4 linked regions of the Anolis sagrei genome follow. The protein of the gene in region 3 interacts with the protein of the main gene of each other region in a biochemical or structural test. Links are inferred from orthologs where the notes say so. Each region holds a gene or a part of one and is shown on either strand. Other genes may lie near its edges. The genes, in order: UBE2T, UBE2Q2, UBA1 and UBE2J2.

The links.
Region 1: of the proteins of UBA1 (region 3) and UBE2T, one has a biochemical effect on the other in vitro, tested with the Homo sapiens proteins (4 studies listed by BioGRID, with this or other methods). The link is inferred for Anolis sagrei from reciprocal best matches to the Homo sapiens genes UBA1 and UBE2T.
Region 2: of the proteins of UBA1 (region 3) and UBE2Q2, one has a biochemical effect on the other in vitro, tested with the Homo sapiens proteins (3 studies listed by BioGRID). The link is inferred for Anolis sagrei from reciprocal best matches to the Homo sapiens genes UBA1 and UBE2Q2.
Region 4: of the proteins of UBA1 (region 3) and UBE2J2, one has a biochemical effect on the other in vitro, tested with the Homo sapiens proteins (2 studies listed by BioGRID). The link is inferred for Anolis sagrei from reciprocal best matches to the Homo sapiens genes UBA1 and UBE2J2.

What each region holds. Positions count from the first base shown.
Region 1 is NC_090024.1:205,674,035-205,681,815, reverse strand, and holds the start of UBE2T (ubiquitin-conjugating enzyme E2 T), read left to right. Parts: upstream 1-4,779; 5' UTR 4,780-4,860; intron 4,861-7,781. UniProt on the Homo sapiens protein: Accepts ubiquitin from the E1 complex and catalyzes its covalent attachment to other proteins. Catalyzes monoubiquitination. Involved in mitomycin-C (MMC)-induced DNA repair.
Region 2 is NC_090029.1:11,631,847-11,639,009, forward strand, and holds the start of UBE2Q2 (ubiquitin-conjugating enzyme E2 Q2), read right to left. Parts: upstream 3,012-7,163; 5' UTR 2,997-3,011; coding exon 2,688-2,996; intron 1-2,687.
Region 3 is NC_090022.1:193,378,004-193,385,464, forward strand, and holds the start of UBA1 (ubiquitin-like modifier-activating enzyme 1), read right to left. Parts: upstream 3,020-7,461; 5' UTR 2,888-3,019; intron 1-2,887. UniProt on the Homo sapiens protein: Catalyzes the first step in ubiquitin conjugation to mark cellular proteins for degradation through the ubiquitin-proteasome system.
Region 4 is NC_090033.1:4,945,321-4,952,768, forward strand, and holds the start of UBE2J2 (ubiquitin-conjugating enzyme E2 J2), read right to left. Parts: upstream 3,006-7,448; 5' UTR 2,856-3,005; intron 1-2,855. UniProt on the Homo sapiens protein: Catalyzes the covalent attachment of ubiquitin to other proteins. Seems to function in the selective degradation of misfolded membrane proteins from the endoplasmic reticulum (ERAD).

The sequences.
Region 1 (7,781 bases), on a different chromosome or scaffold from region 3:
TCACAGCTAAAGCTGTTTTGAAATTGCTTAGGTAAACAATGAGCTAGGCTGACAGTTGGCAGCTCATGCCAACCCGGGGCTTCGAACTTGCAACATTTTAGTTGATAGATCTTATAATTGCTGATGATTTACCAGTTGTGCTAAACCTCTGGCCTAGATGCAGAATGTCCTTATATCCCTCGGCATTTGGCAACCGTCAGCATTTAAGATTACTGATGAAGACTGAAAAAGTTGATTTGGGATCAAATCTGTACAACCCCCCCTCCCCAAATCTCTTGTTATATGGCTATTTCAAATGATCAAAAGACCAGGCCTGGGCAAACTTGGGCCTTCCTGGTGTTTTGGACTTCAACTCCCACAATTCCTAACAATCTCAGGTCCATTCCTTTTCTCAAATGATGAGGCCTGAGGCTGTTAGGAATTGTGGGAGTTAAAGTCCAAAACACCTGGAGGGCCCAAGTTTACCCAGGCCTAATTTAGACCCAAGGAAGATAAGGAGGCTTCATACTTAAGAAAACCATCTTACTGTTGACATTTATAAACCTCATGACTAGCACAATGCTGTGCTTCTAGTTTAGCAGTAGTCATCCACACTGCATCTGGTTGCCGTGTTCTCACATTTGGCTAGAAATACTTTACTCACTGGGTTGTTGTAGGTTTTTCCGGGCTATATGGCCATGTTCTGGAGGCAATTTTTCTCCTGACGTTTCGCCTGCATCTATGGCAAGCATCCTCAGAGGTAGTGAGGTCTGTTGGAAGTAGGAAAAATGGGTTTATTTCAGTACATAAGCAGCCAGTAACCATCTTCCAAACGTGTGAAGGCAGACCTCTTCCGTGGCTTCTTTACAAAAATAAGAGTTGGGATCTTAACCAGGGATGCATTTTACACTGTAGAATTAATGCAGCTTGACATCATTTTAACTGCTGTGATTTAATACTATGAAATCATAATTGTAGTTTTACAGGGCCTTTAGTTTTCTCTGCCAAAGACTGCTGGTGCCTCGCCAAACCACCAGGAGCCCCTAGTGGCGCAATGGGTTAAACCCTTGTGCTGGCAGGACTGCTGACCAAAAGGTCGGTGGTTCTAATCCGAGGAGCAGGGTGAGCTATCAGTTACAGCTTGTCATGTGGGGATGTGTGAGAAGCTTCCCACAAGATGGTAAAATATCCAGGCGTTCCCTGGTCAATGTCCTTTCAGATGGCCAATTCTCTCACACCAGAAGTGACTACTCTCTCTCTCTCACTCTCTCTCTCTCTCTCATACGCACACACACACACACACACAAAACAAACCACCCAGGATTCTGTAACATTGAGCCATGGCAGTGAAAGTGGTGTCAAACTGCATTAATTCTACAGTGCAGAATGCTCTCTGGGCAGAAATGACATATCTGCTCACAGGATGCTCCTACTGGCAAGGTGGAGGAAGCAAGTGAGGTTTTATTTCTCTCACTATTCCTCTCTGCTTCTTTGAATAGTAGCTTCCAGTACCTCAGATTATTGGTCATGACTGGGGCTTCTGGGAGTTTTAGTCCAAAATATCTGGAAGGAAGTTCTGGGTGACCTATTGCTAGTGACAGTTGTTCATTCCTTTCTTTTGAGGCACAGTCATTTCCTGGGACAGGAGCTCTTCAGTTTGCAGACAAAATATGTCATCTCTAGAAATTTTCTGGGTCCTTCAGGGTGACTGTATGGCAATTTTTGGTGGAAATCATTCATTTCCAAAGGTCTTGCTTGTAAAGAACCTCCGACAATGCTAATGAAACTGCCACCAAAATGTAAAGAGACGCTGGTATTAAAGTCTCTGTTTGTGTTGTGAGGTAATTTTGGTAGAGTGGGTGCACCGAACATAAATTAATGGAGATGAGGCAGTTTTAAAAACCAAAGAGAACAAGTTTATTGTTAAACAAAGCGAATGGTTGCAAAATGAAGTTGTTAAGCTTGGCATATACTTGATAGTTACAATATGAAGATGTTAGGCTTGGCATATACTTGATGGTTACAATATGACTTGGTTGCGATACAGTTCAGACTTTTGATGTTACAACTTATAAACTCTTGCTGTAGTGAAGTGCTTTATTATTCAGTGTTCCCTGCTGTGAATATTCTCACTGTTTGATCTATACTGGATCAAATCACTGATCTCCAGTCTTCCACCGACTGGCGATCCTAAAAAGCCTCTGTTAGTTCTTTCTAACTAAAGTAATCTAACGAGGTTTTCCCCTTCAGCTCCCTAGCTGAAGAAATATTCACGAACACTAAAAAACTAACTCTACACTTCTTCACTCCTCAGAGTCTCTTCCCTGACTCTGCTACTCTCTCAGAGTCCCTATCTGACTCTGCTACTCTCTCAGGGTCTCTTCCTCCTGACTGAACTTAACTGTCACTTTCTAAACCTTTTTCTCTCTAAGCTCCTCCCACCTCCTCTTCTGCCTTGTTTCTATGGCAACATATCTCTCACAGCTAGGCCGCTCCAGCCATAGGCAACCAATGTAAAACATTAATACAGTTATACACACATTATAATAAACACTTCTGTACATTGCTATTCATGGTTTCCAGTCTGCAGGAACATATCCCTTGCAGATACAGGGGTTGTATAGCATCCTAAACCAGATGTTTTGCCACTTCTGCTATGATTCACTCATAATGACTAGTTTTTTTCTGTAAATGAAGATTTGATTGCTGCAATTGTAAAAAATATAATTTATGATGTTTACTTAGAGCTATGTCACAACCATTTTAAATTGTTCTAATCTAATTAGTGACAGGAAATGTGAATTCGGGTTAATTATCAGTCCTCCTTTTTCTGGGTCATTACTTGTTAGGAGACTTTGAACAGAGTTTGTCAAATAGAAATGAAGTTCTTTGACTGAACAGTCACTCAACACTTTATGGATCATCTTTGAAGTGCTTACCAAATTTAGCTGTCAGCTTCCTAAGGAAATTAACAAGGGAGGAAATTGACTCAAGGGCCCCATTTTACCTGACATCAGCATCTTAACTGATTTTAATCTCTTGTAGAACTTACAACAACAAAGACTCTTACGGCAAATAAATGTAATGTAAGCAAATGCAAAGTGATATGCACTGGGGCAAAAATAAAGTATAATAAAAATCTAGCTTCCTTAATGGGACTGAGTTGCCAGTGATTTAGCAAGAAAGGGAACGCGGATTGTAAAAAGAAAGTGTTGACACAGGAGAAAGTTTGCAGTTGCTAAAAAAATTAAACAGTAAAATTCCTTGCTAGGCACAATTAGAAAGGGAACTTGAAAATGGAACTGCCCTTATACAAACCTATAGTGTACCTATATCCAGACTACTGTGTACAGTTGTGGTCACTGCATATAAATAAAGAATATTATGTGACCCTTTTATCCATGAAGGATATGTTCCAAGATTCCGGCATGGATTCCTGAAACTGTGGATAATAGCAAATGCCTATATATATTTTAGTATGCCTGGGCTGCAGTCAAATGCAGGGAATTGAAGTCCAAAATTATTATTATTTTATTTCTTACCTCTCATAGTGGCTTGAGGTAGGTTACAACATAACTAAAAAAATGTAACCATGGTAGGCATTATATAAAATATACATATGAAAACGTATTTCTACAAAATGCCTATATTAAAACCTGGGTTGTTGTAGGTTTTTTCGGGCTATATGGCCATGTTCTAGAGCAGGGGTCCACAAACTTTTTAAACAGAGGGCCAGGTCACAGTCCTTCAAACTGTTGGAGGGCCGGATTATAATTCGAAAAACACATGAATTCCTATGCGCACTGCACATGTCTTATTTGTAGTGCAAAAAACACTTAAAACAATACAGTTATTAAATTGAAGAACAATTTTAACAAATATAAAGTTATTAGTATTTAAATGAGAAGTGTGGGCCTACTTTTGGCTGATGAGATAGGATTGTTGCTGTTGTTTTTGTGTGCTTTCAGATTTAGGTTGACCCTGAGCGAGGGCCAGGTAAATGGCCTTGGAGGGCCGCATCTGGCCCCTGGGCCTTAGTTTGAGGACCCCTGTTCTGGAGGCATTCTCTCCTGACATTTTGCCTGCATCTGTGGTAAGCATCCTCAGGTTGTGAGGTCTTCTGAGGTCTATTGGGACCTCCGAGGATGCTTGCCATAGATGCAGGCGAAATGTCAGGAGAAAATGCCTCTAGAACATGGCCATATAGACCGAAAAAACCTACAACCACCCAGTGAATCCAGCCATGAAAGCCTTTGACAATATATTATAAACACCTGGAAGACTGGAGTTTGGGTATTATTGAGGGCCCTTCCACGCAGCCATATAACCCAGAATATCAAGGCAGAAAGTCCCACTATATCTGCTTTGAACTGGGTTATCCGAGGGCCCTTCCACACAGCCCTATATCCCAGAATATCAAGGCAGAAAATCCCACATTATCTGAGTGTGGACTCAGACAACTCAGTTCAAAGCAGATATTGTGGGATTTTCTGCCTTGATATTCTGGGATATAGGGCTTTGTGGAAGGGCCCTGAGTCCACGCTGCCATATATTCCAGTTCAAAGCAGAAAATGGGGTTTTATTCAGCTGTGTGGAAGGGGCCTGTGTTAACACCATGCAGAGTGACAGCGAAATTAGTTCCGGAAGTATCAAGATCGACGCTAGAGACTGTATCCCATTAGAAACTGTTTAGATTTCTTGGGAGGTGGAGCTATTGTTTCCATTGGCCAATCCGCTTTGAGTTGCTTTTGACGGACACTCGGTCTGTCCATTCAGGCTGCGACGCGCTTGGGACGCTGGGTCTTTCCGGTTCAAAACAGGGCGCGCGTTTTGTCTTCTCGGCTTGTTTGGTGAGTTGCCTTCCTGAGGCTGAGAAACGCGGTGAGTCGTTGCGGCGCCTGTGGCTCCTGCTGCTTCGTTGGTTCTCAGGCATTCAGCAAGAGAAGGCCCTTTCCCCTCAGGCCTGTGGTGTGTGTGAAGGGAGTTCTGGTTCCGATGGTGTTTCTCAGCTCAGTTGGTTAGGCCTGGTTGGAACATTTTGTGGGCTGAGCATTGGGCGAGGGGTGCATCTACAGTAGGCATGGGCAAACTTGGGCCCTTCAGGTGTATTGGACTTCAACTCCCACCATTCCTAACAGCCTCAGGCCCTTTCCTTTTCCCCCTCAGGCGCTTAAGCGCCTGAGGGGGAAAAGGAAAGGGCCTGAGGCTGTTAGGAATGGTGGGAGTTGGAAGTCCAATACACCTGAAGGGCCCAAGTTTGCCCATGCCTGATCTAGAGTGTAGAATTAACACAGTTTGACATCACTTTCGCTGTGGGATCCTGGGAGATGTAGTCTGGTGAGGCAGAGAAGGCTAAAGGCCTTGTAAAACTACAACTCCCATGATCCCATAGCATTGAGCCATGGCGATTCGTGTGATATCAAACTGCACTAACTCAGCAGCGTAGATGCACCCCAGGAACTCTGAAGGCTAGACTTGGAATGAGCGAGACACACTCTCTCAGCCTCAAGAGGAAGGTGATGTCAAAGCTCTTCTGAACAAATCTTGCTAGGAGAACCCTGCCATAGGTTTGCCTTAGGGTTGTCATACCTTGGAAACAACTTGAAAGGCACGCAGCAGCAGCAACAAAATCCCCAAAGTAACTTCACCATGTTCCGCTTCTTCCCAGCGTTTCAGGTGGTGGAGAAATGGTATAAGTAAAACTTTATTTCTATCCCGCCTTATTTCCCCACAACATAACAGGCAAAAATTCAATGTGGTAAAATACCACAATTGTTGTTGTTGTTCATTCGTTCAGTCGTTTCCAACTCTTCGTGACTTCATGGACCAGTCCATGCCAGAGCTCCCTGTCGGCCGTCACCACCCCCAGCTCCTTCAAGGTCAATCCAGTCACTTCAAGGATACCATCCATCTATCTTGCCCTTGGTCGGCCCCTCTTCCTTTTTCCTTCCATTTTCCTCAGCATCATACTCTTCTCCAAGCTTTCCTTTCTTCTCATGATGTGGCCAAAATACTTCATCTTGGCCTCTACTATTCTTCCCTCCAATGAGCAGTCAGGCTTTATTTCTTGAAGTATGGACTGGTTGGATCTTCTCGCTGTCTAAGGCATTCTCAGCACAAAATACTACAATAGACTAAAACAGTTCAAAATAAACAGCGTGTCTTTACTCTGGAATGTTGTAGGCTTTTTCAGGCTATATGGCCATGTTCTAGAATGCCTCTGGAACATGGCCATATAGCCCGAAAAAAAACCCTACAACTACTCAGTGATTCTGGCCATGAATCACTTCGACAATACATTGCCTTTACTCTGTGTGACAAAAAAAAACTTTACTATTTGCTAAGAAGAGAGAATTACAGCAGATGTTGCTTGTTCCCTGGTTGGGTGACAAGAAGCACCTCCTGTTTTCTTTTCTATACAACCATTAAAGGTACAGGGGCTTTTTTGGGGTGGGGTTTCACTCAGGCAAGGTACCCCTCTTTTGCAACTCCAGTGAGCCCCAGTCTGTATGGCCTGGAATCAAGAGAGCTGTGTCCTAATGTCAAGGTGCAAAGGATTGCCAGGAGTCCTTGTCATCTTTCTTTGCGTAGGGAGTAGTTTCCCACCTACCCAGTTGGGAAACTTTGATCCATAAGGAGACATAGTGTATTTGTTTTACTTAGTTTTTATCCTGCCCCTGGTGGCGCAATGTGTTATGTATTTATTTATTTTTTTTACTTCATTTATACCCCGCCTTTCTCCCCCTCAGGGAAGTCAAGGCGGCTTACAACTCCAGTACCATTCAATACCAATAAAATAAACAGTAAAAACAATAACATACTCCCCTCCATTAAAACAGTTATAGTCAATAAACACATTAAAACATATACAGTTTTGTCCCGGCCGAACTGGTTGACCGAAAGGTAAGCTCCTGTCTGTCAAGCTCAAGCTTCCCATGCAAGGACATATGACAAACCTCCCATAGGATGGTAAAACATCAAACATCTGGATGTCCCCTGGGCAACGTCCTTTCAGAATACCAATTCTCTCACAACAGTTTCTCGAGTTGCCCTGACACACACACACAAATCCTGCCTTTCTCTCAGAGCCCTCCAGATAGGTCCTTGATCTCGGGATCTGATCCCAGGTTTTCTGCTTTAAACTGGATTATATGTGTCCCCAATGCCAGTTAATCTGAGATAAATGGAAAACCTGGAATCAGATCCTGAGATATAAGGCTTGGCTGGAAGAGCCCTCAGTACAGGGGAGTCAAGGCAGCTAACAGCAAACATGATACAATTAAATCTGAGCAAATGCATTAAAATATGAACTTTTAAATAAAATTAAATATTTTGTTATGAAACAAACAAATCAAAACATATTTAAAACTGAATCCTCCCTTACTCCATCTTCTCATCTATCCTCCCACTCATCAAGTATATGGCCTTCCATATCCACAGATTCTGCATCCGCAATGTCGGTCCCCCATCAAAGTCCTAAAAAACAATTTATATTTTTGCCATTTAATATTAGGGATGCCATTTTGCTATGCCATTTTAGATTATGATACGTGAGCTTCCACAGATGTTGGTAAGTGGAGGGGTTCCTGGAACCTAATCCCAACAGATACATAATTTCCACTGTACGTCTCAGTGTATGATGAAAAACGTAAGTCCCTCAACCTGATAGGCAGCTTAAAAAGCCTTGGCCTGCATAAATAGGAGTATAGTGTCTAGATCCAGGGAAGTCATGCTGCCCCTCTATTCTGCCTTGGACAGACCATACCTGGAATACTGTGTCCAATTCTGGGCACCACAATTTA
Region 2 (7,163 bases), on a different chromosome or scaffold from region 3:
TGCTCTCAGTCCCGCCTGCATCGCAGGCGCGCCTGGCGGGAACGAGAGGCAGGGCCTTCTCAGTGGTGGCCCCTCGGCTGTGGAACGCCCTTCCTACAGAAATTAGATCGGCCCCCTCCCTATTGGCATTTCGGAGGAAAGTGAAGACCTGGCTGTTCGAGCAGGCATTTGAATAGGCAGTGTAATGAATATAGGAATACAGAACAACGGATGATGAGATTGGATCTTGATGCTACTGATGAGACACTAATGAGATGTTATATTGATGTTTAATTGTTTACTATGTTATTGTTTTAATTGTCTCTTAACTGTCTTTATGATGTTTAGCATTGAATTTTTGCTATTATTAACCGCTTTGAGTCGCCTAAGGGCTGAGAAAAGCGGTATACAAATGAAGTAAGTAAATAAGTAAATATATACATACAATATCTTATATTATTAGCATAGTACAATATCAGTATTATACATTACTATGTTGCACTATATCATTATATTGTGATATTATTAGTAATATTACATGTAATCTAAAATATATAATTATAACATTGTATTATTATTACTAGTATTATATTGTATTACATTATACTATTATAAATATTATATGTGTATACAATATATTACATTATTAGTAAAGACGAGATGGAAATTATAATATTTATAATATTTATAATGTAATACAATATAATACTAGTAACAATAATACAATATTATTATATGTATATACAAGATATTATATTATTAGTAAAGACAAGATGGAAATTATTATATTTATAATATTATAATGTAGTACAATATAATACTAGTAATAATAATACAATATTATTATATGTATATACAATATACTATATTATTAGTAAAGACGAGATGGAAATTATAATATTTATAATATTATAATGCAGTACAATATAATACTAGTAATAATAATACAATATTATTATATGTATCTACAATATACTATATTATTAGTAAAGACAAGATGGAAATTATAATATTTATAATATTATAATGTAGTACAATATAATACTAGTAATAATAATACAATATTATTATATGTATATACAATATACTATATTATTAGTAAAGACGAGATGGAAATTATAATATTTATAATATAATGTAATACAATATAATACTAGTAATAATACAATATGTATATAATATATATTATATTATTAGTAAAGACAAGATGGAAATTATAATATTTATAATATTATAATGTAGTAAAATATAATACTAGTAATAATAATACAATATTGTTATATGTATATACCATATATATATAAAGCCCTAAACGGTTCCGGCCCAAGATACCTAACTGACCGCCTCTCGGCCTATGAGCCCACGAGGACTTTGAGATCTTCCGGGGAGGCCCTGCTCTCGATCCCGCCTGCGTCACAGGCACGGCTGGCGGGGGCGAGAGATAGGGCCTTCTCGGTGGTGGCTCCTCGGCTGTGGAAAACCCTTCCCGTGGACATCAGGCTAGCTCCCTCCCTGTTGATGTTCCACAGGAAGTTAAAGACCTGGCTGTTTAAGAAGGCATTTGAACAAGAAGTGCAATGATTGGTATTTTGACCATAGGAATGGAACAACGGAAAATGATACTGGATTGTGGGTTTGACGATGAGACGACACGGAATGGCTTTTGTAGTAATGTTGATGTTTTTGATGAGGATGTTTTTTTGATAATGATGATTGTGGATTATTTTACACTATGTCTTGTATTTTGCACATGTTTTTCTATATTGTACACCGCAGTGAGTCGCCCCTGGGGCTGAGAATTGCGGTATATAAGCGAAGTAAATAAATAAATAATACATTATTATTATATGTATATACAATATATTATATTATTAGTAAAGACAAGATGGAAATTATAATATTTATAATATAGTACTAGTAATAATAATACAATATTATCATATGTATATACAATACACTATATTATTAGTAAAGACAAGATATTATTATATGTATATACAATATACTTTATTATTAGTAAAGACAAGATGGAAATTATTATATTTATAATATAATGTAATACAATATAATACTAGTAATAATACAATATGTATATACAATATATTATATTATTAGTAAAGGCAAGATGGAAATTATAATATTTATAATATAGTACTAGTAATAATAATACAACATTATTATATGTATATACAAGATATTATATCATTAGTAAAGACAAGATGGAAATTATAATATTTATAATATAATACTAGTAATAATAATACAATATTATTATATGTATATACAAGATATTATATCATTAGTAAAGACAAGATGGAAATTATAATATTTATAATGTAGTACAATATAATACTAGTAATAAGAATACAATATACTATATTATTAGTCAAGACAAGACGGAAATTATTATATTTATAATAATATAATGAAGGAACATGAGGGGCAAACTTTCCTGGCCCAATTGGGGGGGGGGGGGTGGCTCCAGGGGTTTGGGCCTGTATCTCCCACCCTTCCTTCTCGGTTGGGGGCTTCTGGGAGTTGTAGTGGGCCGTGAGGCCTGGTGGGAGTTGCAGGCCCCAGCCTGCGGAGGAGGCTCCTACTGCGAGGCAGGCTGGTGGGTGGGCGCTAGGCCGCGGGGAGGCCCTTTCCTTTTTTCCCTCCCTTCCCTCATTCCCTCATTCCTTCCTTCGTTCCCTGCTGGCTCTCACCGTGATGTTGCAGTGGATGGCGAGGGGCTGCTGGGGCGAGGAGGGCAGGAGGAGGAACTGGCAGTGGAGCTCGTCGAGGCGCCAGGAGAGGACGCGGAAGCGCTCGTGCTCCTTCCCGAAGATGGACTCCAGCAGCTTCAGCTCGGCCTTCAGCCCTGACACCGACGAGGACATCCTGGCCTCATCTCCGGAGAAAGCCCGCACGGAGGAGAAGCCTGCGGAAAGGCCTAGGCCGCGCTCGCCTTCCCTCCCTCTCTCCCTCAGCGTCGCCTCCGACGCCCCGGCTAGGCCTCGCCGCGATGGAATCATGGGAGTTGTAGTCGGGCGCGTCGGGAGCGCTCATTGGCGGAGGGGAGTCCCACCACTCCGTAAGACTACGGCTCCCGGCATGCCCCGCGCGTGGAGGACATTTAAAGGGGGCGCGGCCTCCTTCCCCTCACTTCCTCAGTCTAGACTAGGTCTTTCTCCAAGCTTCCTGAACTCTCTCACACGCTTCCCACCTGAAGAGCCTCACAGGAGAAGGAACCCCACGGGAGCCAGCAAGGCAACTCCTCCAATCAAGAAACAGCTTACTGAGATCTACAGAGATACTTAGAGGAACACCTCAGCAAGCAAGAGTCCAAAAGAGGCAGTGTTGCTGCAGACAGAGATACTTGGAGGAACACCTCAGCAAGCAAGAGTCCAAAAGAGGCAGTGTTGCTACAAATCCAGCAGCACCCTGGAAGTTAAACAGGATCAGAGTCTGGAAAGTTTCCTGAACTATCTCACATGCTTCCCACCTGGAGAGCCTCACAGGAGAGGGAACCAGCTAGACAACTCCTCAAATCAAGAAACAGCTTCCTAAGACCTACAGAGATACTTAGAGGAACACCTCAGCAAGCAAGAGTCCAAAAGGGGCAGCAGCACCCTGGAAGTTAAACAGTATCAGGGGAGCCAGCAAGACAGCTCCTCCAATCAAAAAACAGCTTCCTAAGACCTACAAAGATACTTAGAGGAACTCCTCAGCAAGCAAGAGTCCAAAAGGGGCAGCAGCACCCTGGAAGTTAAACAGTATCAGAGTCCGGAAATCTTCCTGAACTATCTCACACACTTCCCACCTGGAGAGCCTCACAGGAGAAGGAACCCCATGGGAGCCAGCAAGACAACTCCTCCAATCAAGAAACAGCTTCCTAAGACCTACAGAGATTCTTAGAGGAACGCCTCAGCAAGCAAGAATCCAAAAGAGGCAGTGTTGCTACAGACCCAGCAGCACCCTAGAAATTAAACAGTATCAGAGTCTGGAAAGCTTCCTGAACTATCGCACTATCTCACACGCTTCCTACCTGTAGAGCCTCACAGGAGAGGGAACCAGCAAGACAACTCCTCCAATCAAGAAACAGCTTCCTAAGTCCTACAGAGACACTTAGAGGAACACCTCAGCAAGCAAGAGTCCAAAAGAGGCAGTGTTCCGTCTTCCAGGAGCATGGTTTACATTGTCTTTTAGCTGCATGGGATAGCATTCCTTTGCATTTCCCCAGAGTTGCTACAGACCCAGCAGCACCCTGGAAGTTAAACAGTATCAGAGTCTGGAAAGCTTCCTGAACTATCTCACATGCTTCCCACCTGGAGACCCTCACATGAGAAGGAACCCCACGGGAGCCAGCAAGACAACTCCTTCAATCAAGAAACAGCTTCCTAAGACCTACAGAGATTCTTAGAGGAACACCTCAGCAAGCAAGAGTCCAAAAGAGGCAGGCTCAAACCCAGAACCTCAATCCATTTTTTTTGGTCGTGTCAGGAGCGACTTGAGAGACTGCAAGTCTCTTCTGGTGTGAGAGAATTGGTCATCTGCAAGGAAGTTGCCCAGGGGGACACCCAGATGATTTGATGTTTTTATTATCCTTCTGGGAAGCTTCTCGATAAATTTTATCTCAATAAAATAGTGAAGAGTAGCAACATCACACTGGCAACGAAGATCTGGATAGTAAAAGCAATGGTATTCCCTATAGTCACCTACGGATGCAAGAGCTGGACCATAGGGAAGGCTGAACGAAGGGAGAGAGATGCTTTTGAACTGTTGTGTTGGAGGAAAGTTCTGAGAGTGCCTTGGACCGGGGAGGAGAGCAATGTCCAATCTCGACAAAATAGTGAAGAATAGAGACATCACACTGGCAACAAAGATCCGCATAGTCAAAGCCATGGTATTCCCCATAGTCACCTACGGATGTGAGAGCTGGACCTTAGGGAAGGCTGAGCGAAGAAAGAGAGGTGCTTTGGAACTGTGGTGTTGGAGGAAAGTTCTTGGACAGCAAGAAGATCCAACCAGTCTCCAGGAAATAAAGCCCGACTGCTCATTGGAGGGAAGGATAGGAGAGGCCAAGATGAAGTACTTTGGCCACATCATGAGAAGAAAGGAAAGCTTGGAGAAGACAATGATGCTGGGGAAAATGGAAGGAAAAAGGAAGAGGGACTGACCAAGGGCAAGATGGATGGATGGTATCCTTGAAGTGACTGGATTGACTTTGAAGGAGCTGGGGATGGTGACGGCCGATAGGGAGCTCTGGCGTGAGATGGTCCATGAAGTCACGAAGAGTGGGAAACAACTGAACGAATGAACAATAACACACAAACTTGGCTGTGGGACCACGCTTTCAGGACAGGGAAATAAAGCAGCAATAGGAAAGAGGACCAGGCCAATTAGATTTGACATGGATGACTAGGACGGTTTTAAATGGTGTATTTTAATATTTTGATAAATGTTTTTAATGTTGGGTTGTTGTAGGTTTTTTCGGGTTATATGGCCATGTTCTAGAGGCATTCTCTCCTGACGTTTCGCCTGCATCTATGGCAAGCATCCTCAGAGGTAGTGAGGTCTGTTGGAACTAGGCAAAAGGGTTTATATATCTGTGGAATGACCAGGGTGGGACAAAGGACTCTTGTCTGCTGGAGCTAGGTATGAATGTTTCAACTGACCACCTTGATTTAGCATTTGATAGCCTGGAAGTGCCTGGACCAATCCTTTTGTTGAGAGGTGATTAGATGTCCCTGATTGTTTCCCCTCTGTTGTTTTGCTGTTTTAATTTTAGAGTTTTTTTAATACTGGTAGCCAGACTTTGTTCATTTTCATGGTTTCCTCCTTTCTGTTGAAATTGTTCACATGCTTGTGGATTTCAATGGCTTCTCTGTGTAGTCCGACATGGTGGTTCTGAGAGTGGTCCAGCATTTCTATGTTCTTAAATAATATTCTGTGTCCAGGTTGGTTCATCAGGTGCTCTGCTATGGCTGACTTCTCTGGTTGGAGTAGTCTGCAGTGCCTTTCATGTTCTAAAATTCTCTAAAAACTCTAAAATTGCTAATCAAGGTGGTCAGTTGAAACATTCACACCTAGCTCCAGCAGACAAGAGTCCTTTGTCCCACCCTGGTCATTCCACAGATACATAAACCCACTTTCCTAGTTCCAACAGACCTCACTAGCTCTGAGGATGTTTGCCATAGTTGCAGGCGAAACATCTGGAGAGAATGCCTCTAGAACATAGCCATATAGCCCAAAAAAAACCCTACAACAACAACCTTATTAGTATTTCATTGGGAAATGTGGGCCTGTTTTTGGCTGATGAGATAGGATTGTTGTTGTGTGCTTTCCAGTCATTTCAGACTTAGGTTGATCCTGAGCGAGGGCCGGGTAAATGACCTTGGAGGGCCGTATTCGGCCCCCGGGCCGTAGTTTGAGGACCCCTGCTCTAGAACATGGCCATATAGCCCGAAAAAACCTACAACAACTCAGTGATTCCGGCCATGAAAGCCTTCGACAATACGTTTTTAATGTTTATGTATGTATATAAGATTTTGTGTCCCGGCATTGAATGTTTGCCATAGATATACTGTGCTCCGCCCTGAGTCCCCTGAGTTGGGGTGAGAAAGGCGGAATATAAATAATATATAATAAATAATAATAATAATAATAAATGAACAATAATAATAAATAATAATAAACTGGGCTTTGCAGGCCAATGGAGGCTCCACCACAGGCATCAGAAGAGCCACGAGACCAAGAAGAAGCCACGAGAGTCAAGACAAAGACCCACCCAGAGGGAAAGGGTTCTTGCCAGACATCAAGGGAACCACCGACCACAGAGGGAAGCTGAGGAAGAAACACAACCTACAAACTATCTACAGACCCATTAAGAAAATCCAACACATTCAGCAAAGGACAAGAGGGATCCTCTTATTTCTGCAGGAGTCAACCATATACCATGCAGATGTGGACAAGTCTCCATAGGGACCACCAAACGCAGACTAACCCAAACACGAATCCAGGAACATGAAAGGCACTGCAGACTCCTTCAACCAGAGAAGTCAGCCATAGCTGAGCACCTGATGAACCAACCTGGACACAGCAGATTATTGGAGAACACAGAAATACTGGACCATTCTCACAACCACCATGTTAGACGACACAGAGAAGCCACTAAAATCCACAAGAAGCATATGGACAAT
Region 3 (7,461 bases):
TAAAAAACAAGATTAGAAAACATTACAATTACTACTATAAACCATCCTATCTGCAAGAACAGTCCAGGCTGTTCCAATAGTCACTGCACATAATTCCATCTATTGCACTGTATTATTCACCAAAGGCTTGATCCTAAAGCCATGTTTTCACTCTTTTTCAGACTATGTCATAAACTCTGTATCGACATGATAGTAATATTGAAATACAGCCATGAAAATGAAACAGAGAGAAATAAAAAACCAAATGAACTTAAACAGACATTCCTACTAAAAACTGATTTTCTGGTTGCTTGAGAGTTTCAGTTAACAGAGTCTACTTCCCCTATCAGGTCCAAAGGAATGGCGTGGAATTCCTTACCTAGAATAATCAGCACTCCAAACATAACACACATATGTATTGTTGAAGGCTTTCATGGCCGAAATCACTGGGTTGTTGTGAGTTTTCCAGGCTGTATTGACCATGGGCCCTTCCACACAGCCCTGTATCCCAGAATATCAAGGAAATCCTACAATATCTGCTTTGAACTGGGTTATCTGAGTCCACACTCAGATAATGTGGGATCTTCTGCCTTGATATCCTGTGTGGAAGGACCCCCAGTTTCAGAAGCATTCTCTCCTGAAGTTTCGCCTGCATCTATGACGGGCATCCTCAGAGGTTGTGAGTTCTGTTGGAAACTAGGAAAATTGGGTTTATATCTGTAGAAAGTCCAGGGTGGGAGAAAGAACTCTTGCCTATTGGAGCTAGGTGTGAACATTTCAATTGACCAGCTTGATTAGTATTTAATGGATAAATGAACAAAATCTGCCTACTAGTATTTAAAAAAAAAACTCTTAAAATCATAGCAGTAAATAAAGAACAACACTAAAAAAGGGGGAATTCCTGACAAGAAACAATCAGGGCCAGCTAATCACCTTCTAAGACAGAATTACCCCAGGTAGTAAGAAGCCAGACCTTGAAACTGCAAGGCCATTCAATGCTAATCAAGGTGGCCAAGAGCAAACCACAGACCACCTACTGCAATGTAACCTGAGCCATGAGAAGCCTCCCACAAGGATGATAAAAACAACAAATCATCCGGGCGTCCCCTGGGCAACATCCTTGCAGACGGCCAATTCTCTCACACCAGAAGCGACTTGCAGTTTCTCAAGTCACTCCTGACACGACCAAAAAAATACAAACCTGAGCCCTGCCACATGCACAATGGAGGACCTTCTTGCAGCAACACCAGAGGCTACCCAAGTGGCCAGCTACTGGTCAAAGGACATTTAATAGAATACAAAGTCTGCAAACTTTGCGTTTTGTTTGTTTGTTTGTGTTTAATGCAATACAACTGTTTTGGTTCGCTCCAAACACGATAAATAAATGAAAGTGGACCATTGAAACCTGGACACTGACCTCAAGCAGACAAGAGTTGATTCTTCCACTCTGGACCTTCCACCGATATATAATAATAATAATTTATTTATCTGACCAGCCATATGACTATTTCAAAATACAACACGAATAAAAGACAGATATATAAACCTCTAGGACAGTGGTTCTCAGTCTGTGGGTCCCCAGATGTTTTGGCCTTCAACTCCCAGAAATCCTTACAGCTGGTAAACTGGCTGGGATTTCTGGCAGTTGTAGGCCAAAACACCTGGGGACCCACAAGTTGAGAAACACTGCTCTAGGAGCCCCCGGTGGGTAGGAGCCACCGGTGGTGCAGTGGGTTAAAGCACCGAGCTGCTGAGCTTGTTGACTGAAAGGTTGCAGGTTCAAATTCGGGGAGTGGCATGCGCTTCCGCTGTCAGCCCCAGCTCCTGCCAACCTAGCAGTTTGAAAACATGCAAATGTGAGTAGATCAATAGGTACCACTCTGGTGGGAAGGTAACGACGCTTCATGCAGTCATGCTGGCCACATGACCTTGGAAGTGTCTATGGACAACGCCGGCTCTTCGGCTTAGAAATGGAAATGAGCACCACACTCCAGAGTCGGACACAACTGGACTTCACGTCAGGGGAAAACCTTTACTTTTTACCAATATAAACCTCACTTGCCTAGTTTCCAACAGACCTCACAACCTCTGAGGATGCCTGCCGTGGATGTGGGTGAAACGTCAGGAGAGAATGCTTCTGGAACATGACCATACAGCCTGGAAAACTCACAGCAACCCAACAATGCACAGACCTCACAACCTCTGAGGATGCCTGATGTGGGTGAAACGTCAGGAGAGAATGCTTCTGGAACATGGCCATACAGCCTGGAAAACTCACAGCAACCCAACAATGCACAGACCTCACAACCTCTGAGGATGCCTGCTGTGGATGTGGGAGAAACGTCAGGAGAGAATGCTTCTGGAACATGGCCATACAGCCTGGAAAACTCACAGCAACCCAACAATGCACAGATCTCACCACCTCTGAGGATGCCTGCTGTGGATGTGGGCGAAACGTCAGGAGAGAATGCTTCTGGAACATGGCCATACAGCCCGGAAAACTCACAGCAACCCAACAATGCACATAGTGTGTGCATGCAGATAGATGCTCCTAAAATCAAGTCCTTTGGGGAATTCCAAAATCAAATATGGATTTCCCAAAATTAAATTAATTAAATATGCAAAAATTAAATATGCAAAATATGTCCCTTGTTCCACCCACTCGAGAAAGTGGGGTGGGGGGTGGGGAAAGGAACCCACACAATCCATCAATGAATGCATCTTTGTGGGTGCTCCTCTCCCATGACCCCCTACACCCCCATTCCCAAAATGCCCTTCCCCCTCCCCCTCCCCAGCCCCGCCCCTTCTTTCCAGGCAGGGAGGGGGCTGCTCCCTCTGCGCTCCCTCCCCCTCCCTTCCTCATCACCCCCTCCCATTCAGAGCAGCACCCCCTCCGGGTCTCTCTCACCCCCCCTCTGTGAGCCGCCTGCGTTCCAACTGGGGGTCCTTCTCCCGCTTCTCTGCCTGCCTGCCTCTCCTGTTGGGCTGCTTCTGCGGGCCCCGGCCGCCGCCTGCTGCTGCTGCTGCTGCGAGGAGAGGGTCGGGCGCAACCATTCCCCCACAGAGGGGTGTCCGCTCTTCTTGGGCTCCCCCTTGCAGCGCCGCGCTCTGCCTCCCCGCTAGAGAAAACCCTTCCCGTGCACTTGAGGACCACGCCGGCCCCTTTTGACCCCCACCATCCTTTGTCGGGAAGAGGTCCCCGGGAAGCAGAACGGGACGACTCAGAATACGACCTCCCCCCTTCGTCGAGCGGGAATGGTACGGCTCGGCTACCTGGGAAATGTAGTCGGCGGGCGGCTGGACCTGGAAGGGAGCACGTGGCTTCTGATGCGTGGGGAAGAGGCAGAGGCGTAAACACGTGGCTGGAGGCACACGCAGGGGGCGCCGATCGGGCCCAAAGCGGGTCTGGGAGCCCCCTTCAGGTTGGGGGTGCATTGATAAAAAACTCACATTATCTGCTTTGAACCGGGTTATAGGACAGTGTGGACTCGGATAACCCAGTTCAAAGCCGATATTGTGGGATTTTCTGCCTTGATATTCTGGGTTATATGGCTGTAGGGAAGGGCCCTGAAGTCCCATCTATACTGCCATATAAAATCCCACATTATCTGCTTTGAACCGGGTTATATGACAGTGTGGACTCGGATAACCCTGTTCAAAGCCGATATTGTGGGATTTTCTGCCTTGATATTAAGGGTTATATAGCAGTGGAGAAGGGTCCTGAAGTCCCATCTATACTGCCATGTAAAATCCCACATCTGCTTTGAACCGGGTTATATGACAGTGTGGACTCAGATAACCCAGTTCAAAGCCAATACTGTAGATTATCTGCCTTGATATTCTGGGTTATATGGCTGTGTGGAAGGGCCCTGAGGTCTCCTCTACCCTGCTATATAAAATCCACATTATTTGCTTTGAACCGGGTTATATGACAGTGTGGACTCAGATAACCCAGTTCAAAACAGATATTGTGGGATTTTCTGCCTTTATATTCTGGGATATATCTGCCTTGATATTCAGGATTAGCTGTGTGGGAGGGCCCTGAGGTCCCATCTACATTGCAATATATTATCTGCTTTGGGTTATAGGGCTGTGGGGAAGGGTCCTGAAGTCTTATCTACACTTCCGTATAAAATCCCACATTATCTGCTTTGAACCAGGTTATATGACAATGTGGACTGGGATAACCCAGGTCAAAGCCGATATTGTGGATCATCTGCCTTGATATTCAGGGTTAGATAGCTGTGTGGAAGGGCCCTGAGGTCCCATCTACATTGCCATATATTATCTGCTTTGAACTGGATTATATGAGTCTCGACTGCCATATCCAGTTCAAAGCAGACAATCTGGATTTTATGTGGCAGTGTAGATGAGGCCTAAAGGTGCATCTACATTAGAATTGATGCTGTTTTGCCCCATTTTAACTCCTGCCACTCAATGCTGTGGATTTATGGGAGTTGTAGTTTGGGAGGCACCAACATTCTTTGGCAGAGAAAACCGAAGGCTATATCTGCCAGTGTCTTGAGTCTATAACTTTCAGCCATGACAGTTTAAATGGGGACAAATTTACTTAATTCGACAGGATGCGTCTTTAATCTAAGAAAGTACGCTACCAGTTTATTTCCCTGTTAGGGTTCATCTACGTTGTAAAATGAATGCAGTTTGACACCACTTTAAGAGCCAGGGACCAGTGCTATGGCATAATAGGAACTATAGTTTTACAAGGTCTGATGCATTTTCTGTCAAGGAGTGCTGGTGCCTCACCAGACTATAAATCCCAGGATCCCATAGTATTGAGCCATGGCAGTTAAAGTGGCCCTAAATTGCATTCCAGTTCAGACATATCCTTAGACTAAATATCATTATTATTATTAATTATGCATTGTCTCCATGCTGCGCAGTCCTGGGAGTCATAGTTTTCCAAGGTCGATACCCTTCTCTTGGTGCATCTACACTGTGAAATTAATGCAGTTGGACCTTACTTTAAATGCCATGTCTCCATGACTTGCTCTTGGGAATTGCAGTTTCCCAAGGTCCATGAACCTTCTCTGGATGCATCTACACCAATGGTTCTCAACCTGTGGGTCCCAGAAACCCTAACAGCTGATAAACTGGCTGGGATTTCTGAGAGTTGTAGGCCAAAACACCTGGGGACCCACAGGTTGAGAACCACTGATCTACACCATGAAATGAATGCAGCTGGACCTTACTTTAAATACCATAGCTCTATATTATGCAGTCCTGGGAGTTATAGTTTTCCAAGGTCAACCCTTCTCTTGGTGCATCTACACTGTTGAATGAATGCAGTTGAATCTTATTTTCAATTCCATAGCTCCATATTATGCAGTCCTGAGAGTTATAGTTTTCCAAGGTCAGTGCCCTTCTCTTGGTGCATATACACTTTGAAATGAATGCAGTTGGATCTTACTTTCAATACCATAGCTCCATATTATGCAGTCCTGGCAGTTATAGTTTTCCAAGGTCTACACCCTTCTCTGTGGGGCAGCTGAGAGGACATTGCCACATTCCCCCCCCCCCCTGCTTCCGAAATTGAAGACACGTAACAGCTGACATTTCAAAGAGAGGAGGGATGGTGAGCAGTGCCTAGTGATTACAGTGTGATGGCAAATCTACTGAAAAAATGCTGAGTACAACTGAGTAACACGGATACATTTTACAGTGTGATGAAAGTAGGGAAATCATCAGTTTCATTTCAAAACTGAGTCAGACTGAGCTCTTCCAAACACTTCCTTGCTTCAGTGTGATGAAGTCCACAGTTTTTATTATTGCCAGTGCTGATGAGTCCCTCTGAACATTCGCAGCAAGTTATACTTCCATTAATTAGCCAACATTCTTCAGATCCAACTTCAAAGTACTTTGAAATCCCCAAGAGCCTAAACAGCTTGGATGAACAAGTGCCAGCCATTCAGATTTGCTGGTGAAATGTGGAGCTGGAGAACCTATCTGCTGACCCAGTTGGCATCAACAATTGCATTTTGGCTTCTTGGTAAGATTTTGTCCTATTGAAGCATACGATTTCTGTGTGTTCACTGTACTCTGTCCCCAAATCCTCTGCTTTTTGGCAAAGAGCACATTTTTATCACAAAATCAACCAATTAAACTATCAAAAACCTTTAAAAGTGCCATGCTAGAGAAGATCAAAGGGTCATCTTGGTCAACAGTGGCTAACCAAAGCCTCCCATGGGACGTCTGCCAGCTATTATAGCAAACGTACATAAATGTGTTATCTGGAGGGCAGCCCTGTACAGTAGAAGCACTCAGTTCATTTGGTCCTGACTGTTTGCTTCAGGCAAATTCAGGTTTCAGAGAGAGAGAAACATATTGGCATAAGGAATCAGCAAGAATTACTTTGAGTTGCGAATCAATATTACGGTAATCACTTTTCATTAAAGGATTAATGAAATCTACGCCCTACACCACTGGAGAAATTACATTGTTTAGCCAGTATTGCACCACCTGACATCCGCCAGGAAGTAGCAAGCAATAGTGAAAGGACCAAGGCAGTGACATCTCCAGCTCTTCCCCTGTTTGGGTATCAGCCAGCACATTAACCACTTAAATCAAGAAATAGTTTTCTGAGATCTACAGACACACTCGCTGGAACACCCCAGCAAGCGAGAGTCCAAAAGTGGCAGGCTCAAACCCAGAATCTCAATCAATGGCTGATACCAAATGAGAGACTCCCCCCTGGGCACACAGAAAACTGGGCGACTTGGAAGGCGCTGAACAAACTGCACTCTGGCACCACGAGATGAACAAGAATGATGAGTCGGCTTTGTTATCAGAAATCTTATTTGTCTTATTTATTGTTTTTGTTGTAGTTCAGCCTGTAATTTTGTTTCAGGATCAGGGTGCTTTGGATGTGGGGAATGATGTAAATGAGGTTCTGTCCTGGGCCCGGTCCTGTTCAACATCTTTATTAATGACTTAGATGAAGGGTTAGAAGGCAGGATCATCAAGTTTGCAGATGACACCAAATTGGGAAGGATAGCCAATACTCCAGAGGACAAGAGCAGGATTCAAAACGATCTTGACAGATTAGAGAGATGGGCCAAAACTAACAAAATGAAGTTCAATGTGGACAAATGCAAGATACTCCACTTTGGCAGGAAAAACGAAATGCAAAGATACAGAATGGGGGACAATGCCTGGCTCGAGAGCAGTACGTGTGAAAAAGATCTTGGAGTCCTCGTGGACAACAAGTTAAACATGAGCCAACAATGTGATGTGGCGGCAAAAAAAGCCAATGGGATTTTGGCCTGCATCAATAGGAGCATAGTGTCTAGATCTAGGGAAGTAATGCTACCCCTCTATTCTGCTTTGGTTAGACCACACCTGGAATACTGTGTTCAATTCTGGGCACCACAATTCAAGAGAGATATTGACAAGCTGGAATGTTTCCAGAGGAGAGCGACTAAAATGATAAAAGGTCTGGAGAACAAGCCCTATGAGGAGCGGCTT
Region 4 (7,448 bases), on a different chromosome or scaffold from region 3:
TGTTTATAAAGCTATTGTCCTCCCAACCCTGCTATATGCCTGACAAACGTGGACTGTCTAAAAACATCACATGCAACTCCTGGAACGATTCCATCAGCGCTGTCTCTGGAATATCCTGCAAATCTCTTGGGAAGACAAGCGGGCTAATGTCAGCGTGCTGGAAGAAGCAAAGACCACCAGCACTGAAGTGATGATCCTCCGCCGTCAATTCCGCTGGACCGGCCACGTTGTCTGGATGCCCAACCACCGTCTCCCAAAGCAGTTGCTCTACTCTGAACTCAAGAACGGAAAACGGAAAGTTGGTGGGCAGGAAAAGAAATTGAAAATGGCCTGCATCAATAGAAGCATAGTGTCTAGATATAGGGAAGTAATGCTACCCATGCTCTATTCTGCTTTGGTTAGACCACACCTGGAATATTGTGTCCAATTCTGGGCACCACAATTCAAGAGAGATGTTGACAAGCTGGAATGTGTCCAGAGGAGGGCGACTCAAATGATCAAGGGTCTGGAGAACCAGCCCTATGAGGAGCGGCTTAAAGAGCTGGGCATGTTTAGCCTGAAGAAGAGAAGGCTGAGAGGAGATATGATAGCCATATAAATATGTGAGAGGAAGCCACAGGGAGGAGAGAGCAAGCTTGTTTTCTGCTTTCCTGGAGACTAGGACGCAATGGAACAATGGCTTCAAACTACAAGAAAGGAGATTCCATCTGAACATGAGGAAGAACTTTCTGACTGTGAAAGCCATTCAGCAGTGGAACTCTCTGCCCTTGAGTGTGGTGCAGGCTCCTTCTTTGGAAGCTTTTAAACAGAGGCTGGATGGCCATCTGTCAGGGGTGATTTGAATGCAATATTCCTGCTCTTGGCAGGGGGCTGGACTGGATGGCCCATGAGGTCTCTTCCAACTCTTTGATTCTATGATTCTAAAGATGGTCTCAAAGCCAACCTTAAAAACTGGCATAGACACTGAGAACTGGGAAGCCCTTGAGCGCTCCATCTGGAGTCAGCTGTGACCAGCAGTACTGCAGAATTTGAAGAGGCACGAATGGAAGGCGAAAGAGAGGAATGTGCCAAGAGGAAGGAGTGTCAAGCCAACACCAAACAGGACCGCCTTCTACTTGGAAACTAATGCCCTCACTACGGGAGAAGATGCAGATCAAGAATAGTCACCTATGGACCCACCAGAATACTGATCCTAGAAGACTATCCTACTTGGCCAACGAGTGATCGCCAAATATAGTAAATAAAGAAATATAATAAATCATGATATCTGGTTTTTTATATTGATCTTGCTATTTGCTATATTTCTCAGCCCGCGGGATAGAGAGTTTCATCTATGCTGATGATCGTGCCATTACTGCTCAAGCAGGGAGCTTTGAGATGGTTGAACAGAAGCTCTCCGAAGCTCTAGGTGCTCTTACTGCCTATTACAGGGAAAACCAGCTGATCCCCAACCCATCTAAAACACAGACATGTGCTTTTCATCTCAAGAACAGACAAGCATCCCGAGCTCTGAGGATTATTACCTGGGAAGGAATCCCACTGGAGCATTGCAGCGCACCCAAATACCTGGGAGTCACTCTGGACCGTGCTCTGACCAACAAGAAGCACTGCCTGAACATCAAGCAAAAGGTGGGTGCTAGAAACAACATCATACGAAAGCTGACTGGCACAACCGGGGGATCACAACCAGACATGGTGAAGACATCTGCCCTTGCGTTATGCTACTCTGCTGCTGAGTACGCATGCCCAGTGTGGAACACATCTCACCACGCTAAACAGTGGATGTGGCTCTTAATGAGACAGGGTGCCTGCGCCCTACACAACTGGAGAAATTACACTGCTTAGCCGGTATTGCACCACCTGACATACGCTGGGAAGTAGCAGCCAATAGTGAAAGGACCAAGGCAGTGACATCTCCAGCTCATCCCCTGTTTGGGTATCAGCCAGCACGCCAACGACTTAAATCAAGACATAGTTTTCTTAGATCTACAGAGACACTCGCTGGAACACCTCAGCAAGCGAGAGTTCAAAAGTGGCAGGCTCAAACCCAGCACCTCAATCCGTGGGTGATACCAAATGAGAGACTCCCCCCTGGGCACACAGAGGATGGGGTGACTTGGAAGGTGCTGAACAGACTGCGCTCTGGCACCACGCGATGCAGAGCCAACCTCCAGAAATGGGGCCACAAAGTGGAGTCCACGACATGCGAGTGTGGAGAAGAGCAAACCACTGACCACCTGCTGCAATGCACCCTGGGCCCTGTCGCATGCACAATGGAGGACCTTCTTGTGGCAACACCAGAAGCACTCCAAGGGGCCAGAGACTGGTCAAAGGACATTTAACCAACTACCAAGTTCGCAAAATTTGTGTTTTGTGTGTCTGTTTGTTTTGTTAGAAATGTAACACAATGGTCTGGTTGGTGATGACACGATAAATAAATAAAATAAAATAGCCTGCGGGTGTATATAGTAAGTAAGTAAATAAATAAAATGTGGATTTTATTGATGCCTCCCAAATAATCCCAAAAAATAGGCCTAAAAGCCAAGTTATTTTGAATTGTTGGGCTGTGTTATTGTTAGTATTCTGGTTCTCAAACAGGCGTGGGCCAACTTCGGCCTTTCCTCCAGGGGTTTTGGACTGCAACTCCCACAATTCCTAACAGCCTGGCGGCTGTTAGGAATTGTGGGAGTTGCAGTCCAAAACCCCTGGAGGAAAGGCCGAAGAGAGGCCTAGCTCAATGGACGCCAAAGAGGGAGGCTTGGCGGCGGGGAGTAGGCCTCACCCCGAAGGCCGCAAAAGCCCCGGCCTGGCCCGCTCTCTCTGTCCCGCCCTCCGTCCCTTCTCGGGCCTCTCACCGCTTCCTCCGGGGCTCGAGGCCCTCCTGCGCCGCCTCGCGAAGGGAAGAGGGCCGAGGGCAGGCTCCCTCCGGCTCCCTCCGCGACCCTCCAAGATGGCGGCCCGAGGCAGGCCCAGGTCCCGACCGGCTTCCCCTTTCCCACACTTCCGCTTCCGTCCGAAGCCTCGCCGAGGCGGGTTGCATCACTTCCGGTTTGGGAACCTCAGCCCGCCTTGCTGTTTGGGGAGTGGTTTCTCAAGCGAGCTGAGCCGCATGCGCGGAATCAGAGCCCTGCCGTCTCTGGTCTGAGCATAGCCGTTTCGGGAGGTGAGGCGCATGCGCGGAAGCAGAGCACCCCCGCCCCGCCCTCTCTGGTCCTCCCGTTGCCGTGGCAACCGGTCGCCCTGGAGACGGCTGCGGCCTAGCTCAGGATGGATTTTGAAGCCTCCCAAAGTCCCTTCAAGTCTTCCACAGTTCCTCACAGCCTCAGGCCCCTTCCTTTTCTCCCTCAGGAAGGACAACAATTCCCATTATTCTCTATCCATTTCCACCCACCCCAAAAATGTAGTCCAGCCAGATCTGGGGATGATGGGGTTTGCAGTCCAGCCAGATCTGGTGCTGATGGGACTTGCAGTCAAGCTAGATCTGGGGTGATGGGGTTTGCATTCCAGCCAGATCTGGGATGATGGAATTTCCAGTCCAGTCACATCCGAAGATGATGGGATTTGCAGGCAAACCAGATCTGGGGACAATGGGATTTGCAGTCCATTCACATCTGCATATGATGGGATTTGCAGTACAACCAGATATGGGAATGATAGGATTTGAAGTCCAGCCAGATCTAGGGCTGATAGAGTTTGCAGTCAAACCAGATCTGGGGACAATGGGATTTGCAGTCCATTCACATCTGCGTATGATGGGATTTGCCATCCAACCAGATCTGGGGATGATGGGATTTGCAGTACAGCCAGATCTGGGGATGATGGGATTTGCCATCCAACCAGATCTAGGGCTGATAGGGTTTGCAGTCCATTCACATCTGCGTATGATGGGATTTGCAGTCCAACCAGATCTGGGGATGATGGGATTCACAGGATCATGGGATTTGCAGTACAACCAGATCTGGGGATGATGGGATTTGCAGTACAGCCAAATCTGGAGGTGATGGGATTTGAAGTCTGGCCAGATCTGTAAATGATGGGATTTGCAGTCTGGCCAGATCTGGGGATGATGGGATTTGCAGTCTAGTCAAATATGGAGCTGATGGAATTTGCAGTCCAGTCACGTCTGCATGTGATGAGATTTGCAGTCCAACCAGATCTGGGGCTGATGGGGCTTGCAGTCAAGTTAGATCTGGGGTGATGGGGTTTGCATTCCAGCCAGATCTGGGATGATGGGTTTTGCAGTTCTCAAATATGGGAATGATGGGATTTGCAGTCCAACCAGATCTAGAGCTGATAGGGTTTGCAGTCCATCCAGATTTCGGGGTGTTGGGATCTGCAGTCCAGTGAGATCTAGGGATTATGCAATTTGCAGTCCAGTCTGATCTGGAAATGATGGAATTTGCAGTCCAGCCAGATCTGGGGGTGATGGGGTTTTCAGTCTGGCCAGATAGGGGGCTGATGGAATTTGCAGTCCAGTCACATCTGGGGATGATGGATTTGCAACCGAGTCAGATCCGAGGATGATGGAATTTGCAGTCCTGTCAGATCTGGGATTGATGGATTTGCAGTCCTGTCTGATCTGGAACTGATAGGATTTGCATCCCAACCATATCTGGGGGCGATGGGGTTTGCAGCCCAGTCAGATCTGTGGATGATGGGGTTTGCAGTCGAGTTGGGATGATGGGATTTGCAGTGGATTTGGAGATGATAGGATTTGCATTCCAACCACATCTGGGACTGATGGAATTTGGAGTCCAGTCAGACCTGGGGATGATGGATTGGCAGTGCAGTCAGATCTGGGGGTGATGGATTAGCAGTGCAGACATATCTGGGGATGGTGGGATTTGCAGTTTGGACAGATCTGGGGATGATGGGAGTTGCAGTCGTCCAGAACTGGGGTTGATGATAGTTACCATCCAGTAAGATCTGGGGCTGATGGGATTTGCAGTCCAGCCAGATCTGGGGATGGTGGGAGTTGTAATCCAGCCAGATCTGTGGATGATGAGTATGCGTTTTCTGATGGGACTATTCATAGAAGGAACTATGAGCAATAATAAACAAACTCCTGGTCTTCCATCCTTCCAACTCTGATGCTCCGCACTTAATTTTCCAGATGCTGTTTGTCCGGTTCCAGTCACCCGTCCGGTATTTGGATTCCAGCATTAGCGAACGCAGTCTGTTATTAAGCAAGCTTGCCTTACCATAAAGGATTTCGACACCTCTTCCGACTTGTTTTGTCCTGCATGGGAAATGCGTTGCCACACGGCACGGAATCGGCACCCCTCTTCCTCCGGCAGGAAGGGCCGAGTGCCATGCTCCGGCTCCAGGGATGGATTTATTTCACCAAACCAGAAGAAAAAAGGCTTGGGTTTTGCAACATCGCCGGTTGGGGAGTCGTCTCGCATGTGGGAACCTGCGCCGTGCCTCCAGAAGGAGCCGAAGCTGAAGGTAAGGGAGGCACTTCTTTATTTGCAAAGCCAGGCACAAACAGGGATGGTTTAAGGTGTCATTTCCATGAATCTGCTCCAGGTTTTAGTCTGAACTTTCACAGACCTGTAATCAATCCCTTAAATATGTTTAGAATTGGCTTAAAATCTGGATTAAACCCAGAGTGGATTCATTACCCCATTGGTGTGATAATAATCTAATGCTTGATAATATTTCTTCCATTCTAACTAATTTTGGTACCGAGAAAAGTTTATTTATATATTATATTTCTTCAATTCCAAGATGCATTTTCCTCTCATATAAATATCTCTGAAAATGGGGTATGTCTTAAAACATTGGTTCCCAACCCTATTTTTTGACCAGGGACAACTCTCCAACATTAGTACCAAAAGGGTTACAAATCGGTTTTTGGTCTAATTTAGATTTGGTTTGGTTGTTTGGGGTGTTAATTCAGAAAATTGCATTGCATAGACCACATCAGCTGATTAAGAAACTTCATTGGATAGACCACATCAGCTGATTCAGAAAATTGCATTGGATAGACCACATCAGCCGATTCAGAAAAGTGCATTGGATAGACCACATCAGCTGATTAAGAAACTTCATTGGATAGACCACATCAGCTTATTAAGAAACTTCATTGGATAGACCACATCAGCTGATTCAGAAAATTGCATTGGATAGACCACATCAGCCGATTCAGAAAACTTCACGGGATAGACCACATCAGCTGATTCAGAAAAGTGCATTGGATAGACCACATCAGCTGATTCAGAAACTGCATTGGATAGACCACATCAGCTGATTCAGAAACTGCATTGGATAGACCACATCAGCTGATTCAGAAAATTTCATTGGATAGACCACATCAGCTCTCGTTTCTGATACAGAACATGTGCCATCCAGTAGTCTCAATCTGCTCATCCACAGAAAACCATATTTTATACAGTGCTGGTCTCCTTCCTTCCTTCCTTCCTTCCTTCCTTCCTTCCTTCCTTCTCTCCCTTTCTCTTTTGCTCTCCTCCAACGGTGCCGGGAAAGTCACACGAGGGCGAGAGCATGAGGGCAACGGTGCTGTCCTCCTTCCTTTCTTCTCTCCCTCTCCTTCTCTCTTTCGCTCTCCTGCAACGGCGCGGTGAAAGTTGCAAAAGAGCAAGGGCAACAGCATTGGCTTCCTTCCTTCCTTCCTTCCTTCCTTCCTTCCTTCCTTCCTTCCTTCCTTCCTTCCTTCTCTCCTTCTCCTTCTCTCTCTTGCTCTCCTCTACCAGTGCAGTGAAAGTCTCGAGAGGGCTTGGGCAACGGTGCTGGCCTCCTTCTTTCCTTCTCTCTCTCTCCTTCTCTCTTTTGCTCTCCTCCAACAGTGCCAGGAAACTCTCGAGAGGGTTTGGGCAACAGTGTTGGCTCCCTCCCTCCCTCCCTTCTTTCCTTCTCTCCCTCTCCTTCTCTCTTTTTCTCTCCTCCAACAGCACCAGAAAAGTCTCGAGAGGGCTTGGGCAACGGTGCTGGCCTCCTTCCTTCCTTCTCTCCCTCTCCTTCTCTCTTTTTCTCTTCTCCAACAGCACCAGGAAAGTCTCAAGAGAGCTTGGGCAACGGTGTTGGCCTCCTCCCTCCCTTCCTTCTTTATCTCCCTCTCCTTCTCTCTTTCCCTCTCCTCCAATAGTGCCGGGATAGTCTCAAGAGGGTGAGGGCAGCAGTGCTGGTCTCCTTCCTTCCTTCTCTCCCACTCCTTCTCTCTTTTGCTCTCCTCCAGCAGTGCCGAGAAAGTCACGAAAGGGCAAGAGGATGAGGGCAACGGCGTTGGCCTCCTTCCTTCCTTCCTTCCTTCCTTCCTTCCTTCCTTCCTTCTGTTTTTGTAAGGCTCCAGTTGCAAGGATGTCACCTTTGGATCTGTATTGCAGATGAATAGATGTGTATTAGTGCAGGAAGACCATCCCTTGCATGAGATCAAGGCCAGGAATAGGATTAAGAAATTGGGATTTGTACTTGACAGGAGGTTTCTG